Linked DNA regions of Drosophila melanogaster. The protein of the gene in region 2 interacts with the protein of the main gene of each other region in a pairwise test. Each region holds a gene or a part of one and is shown on either strand. Other genes may lie near its edges.

Evidence for each region. The genes of interacting proteins can lie anywhere in the genome.
Region 1: the proteins of Poxm (region 2) and d-cup interact in a two-hybrid assay, tested with the Drosophila melanogaster proteins (one large-scale study listed by BioGRID).

What each region holds. Positions count from the first base shown.
Region 1 is NT_033777.3:12,890,035-12,893,658, reverse strand, and holds d-cup (davis-cup), read right to left. Parts: upstream 1,704-3,624; 5' UTR 1,605-1,703; coding exon 1,248-1,604; exon of another isoform or gene 1,193-1,247; coding exon 1,091-1,192; intron 1,038-1,090; coding exon 837-1,037; 3' UTR 501-836; downstream 1-500.
Region 2 is NT_033777.3:8,329,401-8,336,505, forward strand, and holds the start of Poxm (Pox meso), read right to left. Parts: upstream 4,393-7,105; 5' UTR 3,725-4,392; coding exon 3,715-3,724; intron 1-3,714.

The DNA.
Region 1 (3,624 bases), 4.6 Mb from region 2:
GGCCTGCAGTGGCTGCAGTTGGAAGCCTGGATTGGAGAATGTCCCGACAATGTAGAACACCATCCATCAAATGTCAATTGTATGCCAACTGCCAACAAATCAAGCTGTCATGAGGCAGTGGCAAAAGGCAGTCGTCGAGCCAGTGGAGCATTCAACCATAGCAAAGTATTTCTGGAGCTGCGCTCCGTATTTAAAATTATGTCACTAAAGCGGGCTACACTAGGAATAACATCAAAACAATAACTCAAAAGTATAAAATTCTATTGCCATTTTAAATAAGTTACTTACATCTGTGAAATGTAATAAAATTAATAGTTAGTTTTTATAATATTATACTGTACATCTTAAATCAAATCTGTGTACATCGTATTTTGGAATACCTAAAGAATTTATGTTTATACATTTTGTATGGCAATAATAAATTATTAATTTTTTAGCCAGTTTAAATGAATTAAACATTTAAACATAAATATACAAAAATGAATTGTAAGCTGTGAATTGAAAGTATTGTTACTCTATTTTATTGATATTTATGTTAAGTATTCCATCGTAATCTTTAATATTTTTCCCCGTGTGGTCGAGAGACAGCTGGTGTCCCCTATATATGCTCCATCCATCTATCCATCTATCCAGCGTCTCGTTGCAGCTGTCAGCGCTCTATTCTGCAGTTCATCATCATTGTCATTGACATTTTCGAGTGGCTACAATGGCTGAACAGAGAAAAACGCGGTGGCGGGGCGCACTGATTTGCATTGCTTTCGATTTATTTGTGCCTCAAAGATTTATGTGACTGGCGGAGTTCTGGCAAAATGCCACATACCCTTCTGCAATCATACCTACAACGTACCCATTTCGGGTATGTGAGAGTATATGGCAGTGCAGTACGCCACCACCAGACGCGTCTCGTCCGAGGGAAAGATGGGACCCAGAAACTCCAGCAGACGCGGCTGCTGCAACACGATCGATCTATACTCCTCAAATGAGATGTAGCCGTCTTGGTCTTCATCAAATTTGAGGAGTAGAAAATCGACCATGTCCTAATTGGGCAACAGATTGAATGAGGGCTTGAAGTTGGTAAATTCCAGCTCACCAGTCGCATCTCGAGTACCTCGTCGTCGTCGCCGACGAAAAACCTCTCGACCGAAGATGAAATGATCTCTCTATTAATACCCATGCCATTTTTGTCGTAAACCTAATTGAAAAATTAAAAAAAAAAAAAACAAATGTATCGTGTACATTCCCATTACCATATATGCAAATTCCATTTTCCGTTCCATGTCGCGGGACATTAGAATGGTCATGTAGTTGACAAATTCCATGGGCGTCACGTGTTTCCTGCCACCTGCGATTAGGGTTACGATGCGATCCACCACGTCCATGTCATATAGCTGCTGGAAACCGATCACAATGTTCACAAACTGGCTGGATGTTATTCGGCGAGCAGAGGGCCCATTCTGGAGACTATACTTGTAGTAGATCATCAGGATGCAGGTCACCTCAGAGTCGTTGAAGGGCACCAGTCGGGCGATCTGGGGAACAAGTCCGCCATAAACCGACTGAAACCGCTGATTGAAACGGTCGTTCATGGTAAGGTCCAACTTCATCTTTGCTGGTATTGATACAAGAACATGTGAAAGCAACGCAAAGAACTCAATATAAAGTAACAACAATAAATATAAACAATAAACTAACTGCTACTAATTGAAGGGAAAAGCATTAAAGATGTGATTAAATAGTTTTCTCTTCTTAAAAATTTATTTGAATTATGGTTTAATTGAAATCATGTAATATTTCAGACAGTATATTCCTTCGGAACATGAAATTGATATGTATCTTGGCTGATAATATATTTTAGATTTAGACACATTTAAATTTTGGCCTGAAGGAAATTGATGCCATTACGCTTTCGTCTGGCATTTAAGTGCAGTCACCGGAAGTGGAAGTGGCTTGGGGCGTCGATTTATTTAAAGAAAAAATCAAAGAGCAGAAAAGTGAAAGTGGGCGTGTAGGAGGACAGTTTTCCAGGCAGACGCATCCATCAAACTGCCAGACAGACAGACGACGGTGGCCCACAACATGCATATCAGTCAATTTATCTCCAATTGTGTGTGCGTGTAAAAAAAATTACGCAATTTATACGGGGGTCCATGTGTATAGTGTATAGTGCGTATGTGTGTCCTCCGGACCCATTGAACTTTCCGTGGAAAATCTACATATTGATAAATGACCCCAGCAGCCAGTGAGGCAGAAAAATCGATGGACGAGCCCCACCACTTGACATTTAAAGCGCCGTAGCGAATTTATGCGAATTTATATTGCCTTTTGCTGGGCCTGTCTTTGATTTCATTTAATGAGATGTCGATAATTACACGTGCCAACCTGAAAAGTGGGTCACATTACTGGTGGGCATGGATTTAACAAACTTAAAGTAAACTTTATTATGCACAGGCGACAGATGGAATGACCGACTGGGCGTACAACTGACTGTGTCGTGGAAAAACTTCATCAAAATGCTGAATCTGCGTCGCGGGCAAGTGGAAAATGGTGGAAAATCGTCGAACGGCAGCGGTAGCAAAGTGTAAAATAATTACTCGGCTTTTTCTGCATTACTTGCCCGCTTTTTGACGCACTGTTTCAAGTAATTAATTGAATAAGCGCCTTGGCCCGCAATTGTATTAAATTGCCCGCTGCATTCCCACTGATTGACTTTCTGTCTCTGCGCCAATAATTATTCAAAGTGGCATCGCACGCGGATCCTGCTGGGAGAACCTTGCAACACAGTTTAAGGCCCTGGTCCGATTGATTATTTCACTTAAATTTGTCACCGCGTTCACTGAAAAAAAATTGTACTAATTTAAAATAAAAAAAATCATTTTTTAACTGATAAAAAAAGATATTAGATTAAGGAGATTAAAAAGAAGATGTGGTAGATACAATAGAAATAATATTTATTTTATAATGAAGAAATTTATGAGCTCGAACAACAACAATAGAGCAAGAAATCGGAACTATTTTAAATACCATAAGTGATGTGATTCAGTTAAAATAATAGTAATGTAAAATCGATCCAATTTTTTGCAGTTTTTACCCAGAAATCATATTAAAAATCGCAATATCAATATCAGACCAAATTAAACAAAGAATCTTTTTCGCAGGCTTAAAAAGGTAATTGCATCGTTGCCCTGAAATGTTTCGTTTTATTTGAAATGCAGAGTTACATCGAAAGGGCATTTCAAATGCTTTTCACTGCCTTGACTTCTAGGCGAAAATATTTTGAAGGAGTTGGAATATTTGTGTTTTTAAGTATCTGGCTGGCATAACCTTCGCCCTTCCATAAAACATTGGCCAAAACTTGCAAAGTAGTTGCCAACTTTGATTGCCTGGCCAGTGCTTGTCGACATCGTCCTTTGGCGGCGAGGGGCATTGAGTGATCATTTTGCGTACTTTTTTTTATGACCATCAAAAATACATGGCTTGTTGTAAGTCTCGGCCAACATGGCCTTTGCTTTGCATAATTGCAAAGTTTACGAGCAACATCTAGGCGAATGCATACATGCATGTTTAAGAGAACAGGGGTTGGAAAATGGGGGAAAAATCAGAGGCGGTAAGAGCCGCGTGAATAAT
Region 2 (7,105 bases):
CGACATCGCGGTGGGGAGATGCCTTCATATGTTTATTTTCTTAATTCTGCCGCCGGTTGCTTGCAGCATATATAAATTTATATGCATTCGGTATGCAGAAAAAATTAATTTAACAACTCAGTTGACTTGAGCTGAGGCTCAGCCAACGCGTCGCGTATACGCCATGTGGCCCGCCCCTTTTCACTCTTTAGTTGGTTGCCCACATTGTTGCGGTCCTCATCGACTTATAAATAGTTGGGTTTTAATTTTTTTTTTTTTTTTTTTGGTTCTACACTAACTACGCGAGAGCTTGTCGACAATTTTGCATTCGGAGCGTTGCACAATTTGCCGCACAATCGCATTTATTTATCAGTGAATTTCACAGAATCGTCGCGCCAAGAGAAAGAGGAAGCCACTCTACGTCTGTCACTTTGATCCGCTGGCAATGCCATTTTCCTTTTTAATCTGCTGCAGAGTTCAATCCCAAGTGTTATCAATGGAAAAGAGTCATGATTGGCATCGCTTTATGTTTACTTAACATCTATCGAATCTGCTTTGAACCAGACGAAGAAATGCAACTCCTTACGGCTACTTTCCCCAAGGAACGCTAATAGCTGGTAACTGGCATTTTAGAGAAATTTTAAGTGTCTCGATCTAGCTTGCCATCTGCTCGCGTATTTCCGTTTTCAGATCAAGTGCAAGCGCCTCGAATTATAAATGGAGCCCATAAGATAGGCGCCCCAGCAAGTGGGAATCAAAAGTACATAAAGCTAAATAGATTCCTGCGGCGTCAACAGCATTGTCTGTCAACAGAAATTAATGAGTCCATAAATCACGACAGCCACCGCCAAGATAGCGACGCACTAGCTCCTTTCTTCCGCCCCCTTCGGAAAACTGGTAGATGGGGCCCAGTTGGAGGAGGCTAGCAAATATGACGGCTCTAGCCAGCGAGCTCGAGGAACTCGAAAGGGGTGCGGCCCAGCCGAAAAAAAAAAAGAAAAAACCAAAGGGAAGATGCCGCAGCGACTTCAATTACGCGTACGAGGAATGCGCACAATGCGAGTGCGTAGCCGAAATGTGCTCGATGTCGATGGCAAACCCATGGCCAGAGTTCCGATCCCGTCCCACAGGCCCAAAGGAGATCCAACGCATCCGACCAATCATTGGCAATGTACTAGAACCGACAACTCCGCTGCAGTTCGGGTTCGCCGGCACTCGAGCAATGTGCAACGCCCTTCGCTGACAGCGGCGAGATGCATATAAATCTAACCACATGTGCACCAGCTCACCCACTCCCCAATCCTGCCCACTAGGGATTCGGAAAGTAGCTGAGGCACTTACATGGAATTGTTATTGTATTGTTTAGCGGTAAACTATCTTTTAACAACAAACCCTTTAATTTCCTTTAGCTACATAATTTCATATCATTTTATTGTATGAAATGAACTTCTAGAGCTAGCTGGAAAATAGCCAGTTTCACAGCTCTGATCCTAGGACTCCAAATTCGAGACTGAGAAATGGAGTTTGGAATGATTGTGGCAGTTCCGGTTTTGGGTCGCCATCGCCCCCATGGGACTTGACACAGGCCATCTCAAGGGGTTAGAGTCTAGGGGTTAGGGGTTAGAACCAGATGTTAGCCGCCCGCTTATTGATGCGATCGCATTCATTATCCCAGAATGAACTGGCTCAAACACGTGCCCCCTAACGATTAGAAACTCATTAAATATATGGTAATGAGCTGAGTTTGCTTCCAAGAACATGAACTACACTTGTCAGATGTCAGAGGTTGTGGATCCATGGGGAGATGTCCACGCCCAAAGGGAGCAAATGTCAACTGATCTACAGTGAGAAACCTAGCATATTACAACAAAAAGTAGAACATACTATTCAAAGGATAAAATGCAAAGGGTTTTGGAGGTTTTAATTATACTCAAAGCCTATTTAGTGCAACTTTTTTAAGCTCGCCGAGCAATGCCCAAAATGACTGCAAATGCGCTTAATGAATGTTCCGCATCAGCGGTCGGGGATGTGATTTAATTAAAGAACTCAGGGGAAACGACGCCACACAATCAAGCCGAGGCAGTGAAGCGTTTTCCCAAACCCGAACCGCAATCATCGGTATCCACGGGAGGAAGCTACTGGTCGGGCTTTCAGATCAGTCCCCGCCGCATCCTCCCGCAGTCGCTGCTCCTGGGCACCTACTCCCATACCATATAGACTCTTCCATTAAGGCATGTACACATTGACGCGACGTTTTCCTCCTCGGATCTCAAGTGTTTGCCTGCCTTTCGTGGCCATCGTCTGCGCCTTTTGTTTTACTGCCCCTTCTGTGATTTTAACATCTTGCACTTGCGGCCCGCGTCTGGTGGGCTTTTCATGTTTAGCTACCGAAGTAGATGGCTACCGGTGGCCGTTAGTCACGCATTTCTGCACCTCTGGTCCAGAGTCTGGGTTTTGGTTTGGGTTCGGGCATGAGCATGGGTCTGCATCGGCGTCTATATCTTTTTCGACGTCTCCTAGTGAGCAAACAATGCTGGCGTACAAACAGAATGTCAAAACATCGAAAGCATGTCATTAATGGACCAAAAGTGCGGGACCTCCTAGCCGACTTATAACTTCTTTTCAGCTCGGACAAGTGGAAAAATATATATTCGTGTATGTCCTTTTGATACTTTGCCATAAAGAGGCTCAAGCAAACAAATAAATACTTGAAACTAAGTGGGGAATACCATTATAAAAGATTACCCATAGTCAGTCACACTTGTATGTCACTCATAGAAATTGAAAACTATTGGCAAATTATTTCAAAAGATGATCTAAGCAATTCGAAATTTGTAAAAGTAAATCGACGCATGCCAAATTATTCGATTGCGCACATGTTTGTCAACAACTGAGAGAACTGATCAAATCTTTACACACTTGTGTAGCGTAGTTTTCGGCCATAAGGCCATGTCTTGCACTCGCATTTTGCTTTTGGCCCAAAGCACATGGACAAACAGAGACACGGACACTTGGAGCCAAAAGTGAAGACCGCACGACAAAGGCAGAAACATTACAACGATCATTAGTTAAATTAGGAGCCTTGGCTCCGGAGTTTGGGATTGGGATTGGGGTTATGGGTTTTGGATTTTCGGTTTAGGGTTTTGGGTTTTGGAATCGGGTACGTGTGCGGACGTCGGCGACATCATCGAAAGTCAAACAAGTGCCGCGGCTACCGCGAGGCTGTCGATCATGCGCCAAGCGACGGCAGCCTTTTGAAACGAAAATCAAAAGCAAACATCTGCCTCTTGATGTTGCCCAAAAAAAAAAAAAAAAAAAAAAAGAAGTTGGTCCAGCGAGCGATTGTGTTTATCCCAAGCAGTTAGGGGATCCGGATAAGGACTTGGCTGGAGGATCGGACAAGAGGGCTTTATTGGCAAAACACTCGAGTGGCGGGCTTAAGTTAAGAGATTTAAGTGAAAATATAGTGCTACTTTTGAATTTGTCTTTTCGTTACCTTATATTTTAAGATAGAGAGGGAAATGTGATTTCAAAAGTCTTATCAATATTTCCTGCAATATACATATTCTTGTTTTTCTGATTATATTAACCCAAATCTATCAATAAAATAGCTACTACGCTTTTTAAAGAAACCCAATGCCGTCGGCACCTCAAAAATGCCGATAGATCTAAAAATTTTAATTTGGAAATGAATTCTGAGGCCTATATCTTTGTGAGTCATGGATTGAGACATACCTGGGTCCATTTCGGCCGATGGCAATTGATTGAAGAACTCCAGAATTGCAATTGTGGGCACCCAAATCTGCCTTTCGCCAACTCCGCCGTGGAACTTTCTCCGATTGGATTCGCCGGAATAGTTGGACTCTGCTTTGCTGGGGATTGTCGGTGGTTACCTAGTCGTTAACTTTTCGCACTTGGCTATAATGTGAGTTTCAATTAAGGCATGAAATTTGTATACAAATTGGCGCCAGTTGTGCGGGACAGCATCGGGCTGCGATGCCTACTATGCCGTGAACCAAGACTGAGATCTGATTAGCACATTTTCGGGCCAAAACGATCGCTCTCGAGTAGGTTGGCTCGAAAATTATCACGCACTTATCACACCTTATTGGGGAAGCGGGAACTACACACACTTAATGACACTACAATGGGTTTGTTATGCTTTGATTTTGGGAATTATGTCGGTTTACTTTGGACTTGACTGGCGGACCTCCCGTGCGATTGATGGTTTGCAAATGAACCGATTTAAACAGCATTCACTGATCCGTGCGCGCGCCTTTAAATCTTTCGATGGCCTTTTTGCTCTAGCGTATCGGGTCGTAGCGTATCGGTTGGGAACGGTTTGGATCGGGAAAACCTGGCGCGCTCTCCAAAAACGATCGTTGCTGCTCGTCACCCGTGTCTGCTGCGACTAACGCTGCCCGCGGCGCTGCCGATCAAGATCGCCCACAATCCACGTCCACGCACACATTGAATATCACCACCACAGCCACAGTCACATCCACATCTACAGGCTCAAGTGGAAGTGGAAGCCACCGCGTCGACGCAGCATCCCAAGATCTCGCTCTCTCTTTTTCTCACTCTCCGCATTCTCCTCCGCAAGCACACACACACTCATCCGTGAGAGGAAGGGGCGGTCGGTCGAGCGTATATGTGGGTTTTAATGGCGATGATCGCGCACTGGTGTGCGTTTGTTGGTGGACCGCGGGCAAATAATAAAAATGAAGAATGTCTTTCAGCGATCAGGAGCGCAGGCAGCGAATTGAGGGTAAGCCCAGAAGAGTTAAGGCGCCAGTAACTTTGGTATCGAAATATCTTGTAAGTGTTTAAAGTAAAGGGTTCATATAAATTAAATATTTTAATAAAGAGATCGAATTCAGAAGTTTAGAAGAAGGTTTTTAAGACTTTATTACATCAAGTTATACACAATAATCTATACAATTTTTTTATTATTTATCATAACATATTTCCGTTTTCTTGCTGATGGATAATAAACTAAGCTAACAACCCATCTCTCCTTTTTTCCCCAGTTACCGCTCCTGTAGTCGCTCAACTTTGTGTTTGTGTGCCAACGGATGTGTGGGTGTATCCATGGATCGGAATTCGTACTCTCGCTCTCTCTCCGCTGCAATACCTACACAGACGAACCGAACCGAGTGAGTGAGCATACGCAACCGGGCGGAGTTAATTTCTGAATGCTTGAATGGCCAATCTGAAGCAAGTAAGCGTATCCGTAGCGTTACGCAGGGTGGGCGAGCGATGTCATGACTTCTTAGTGTCACACAGATGAGGAGCAGACGAAAAAGGAGCCGAGGGAGAAGGATAGAAGGAGAGAAACGGAAGGAAAAGGAAAGGGGCGGGGCTGTGGGAATTCTCGGAGCGCGTGCATCTATTTTTGGTTCATTAAGAAAGCCATATCGCTAATAAAGCGGCACAGACAGCTAACCCCGTAGATCCCCAGGGATCCACCTCCCGGCCAATGCGGCGTATGCGTGATGCCAACTCTCGCTGAGGCGTTGCGTCTTGCTTGGTTAGAGTTAATTATAAGAAATGCCGTCTTCATCTGATTGTCACTAATTCTGAATACCGCCATTTAATGATAGATGCCAATTGTCGTTGTCATTCCCTCATTAAAATGGTCAAATCGCCGCTCTTGCTATTCTTAATGTTGTGCTCGCTCTCTTCGCTGGCTGTTTAGCATGGCTGTGTGTGCACTTAGTGCGCGTGTGTGTGTGTTTTGGCCCACACACACTGTTGCGCGTTGGACACACCTCCTTGAGTTGGCTTACGCTTACCTGCTCATACCTTTTGTTGCGAATCCAATTGGCCCTCTCCCTGTCACTTTCTGATTTCTGCTCATTGCCGACTGCATTTCCCTGCATTTTGTGGTTTGACGAACGCCATTTCCGACATTGCCTTTGTTTTAAAACAAATAATTCTTATAGTTACAATGTACTTTAAAAAATTTAAACTAAACTCTCCTAATACAATTCATTATTGTTAAATTACTTGTCTTTTTAATTTTTTATAATTTTTATATAAATTTTAAAAACATTTAAAATGTATCTATTACATTGGCATTTTGATTTTGTAATAAACATAAATACATATTATTTAAATAATATTGTAAAAACAATGCATTTTCTTGTTCAGTTTTCTACTTACTTTTAAGAACGAAATGATTAAAGGGAAACACAAAATCATCATAGAGTAAACAATTTTTTTCTTTTTATTTAGTAATACTAGATAGATAATAATAGATCAAGTTGAAGAGCTTTATTTAATCATTAAAAACAATTAAGTAAATCTTTTAATAAAATAATCCAAACGCTAAGAAGTAAATCTCCGATACGTAATGGATCGACTTACAAAATAATTGGCCATATGCGAAAACCAAGAATTCTTCCCCGGCGGCCAAAGCTTCAATTTGATGACTAAAGCATTGGGGATAAAGAATTGGGGGAGCTGATGACAAAATTGTCTCCGCGTTTAACAAATTGGGTGACAGGCTTTGAAGTCGCCGGCAGCCAGCGACAAATGACAAGCATAACAAATGAACACTGTGCGTTTTCCGCTTATTTTTTTCTCCTTCACGGATACTTTCCAGTTGTATCTTCCTGTGTTATAAAACAAGCGGGAGTGGAAGGAGTCGATGTGGAATCTGCCAGGCACTTGAGAAAACAAAGGAGCTAACACCAGGGACTTGGGAAAAGGAGTCCAAGTACCAGGAGCAGCATCGTATGTCATAAAGTGGCAAATGCGCTATTAAATTGACACATATAAGTCAGAGGAGGAGGACAAGTTACATAAGATTGCGCCAGATGGGCGGGGACTATGCACTGGGAAAAAACACTTTGGAATTATAGATACAGAAGTTTGGATATATGTTTTGAAAAGAATTTAACTTATAAAGTACACCTTATTAATTGTTATCAATACATTTTTTCATTTATTATTCGTATAAAATTATCATATTGCACAGTCCTTTAACAATGGAAATCGCCGCTTTTAAAGTTACAAAAAAATATAGTAATTTTGTAAGTATCTTACCTTTTGTATCGTTTCGAACAACATTTTTCCCCAGTGCACAACTGCTGGAGTAGGCGGAAGCGTCAAATTGTCTACG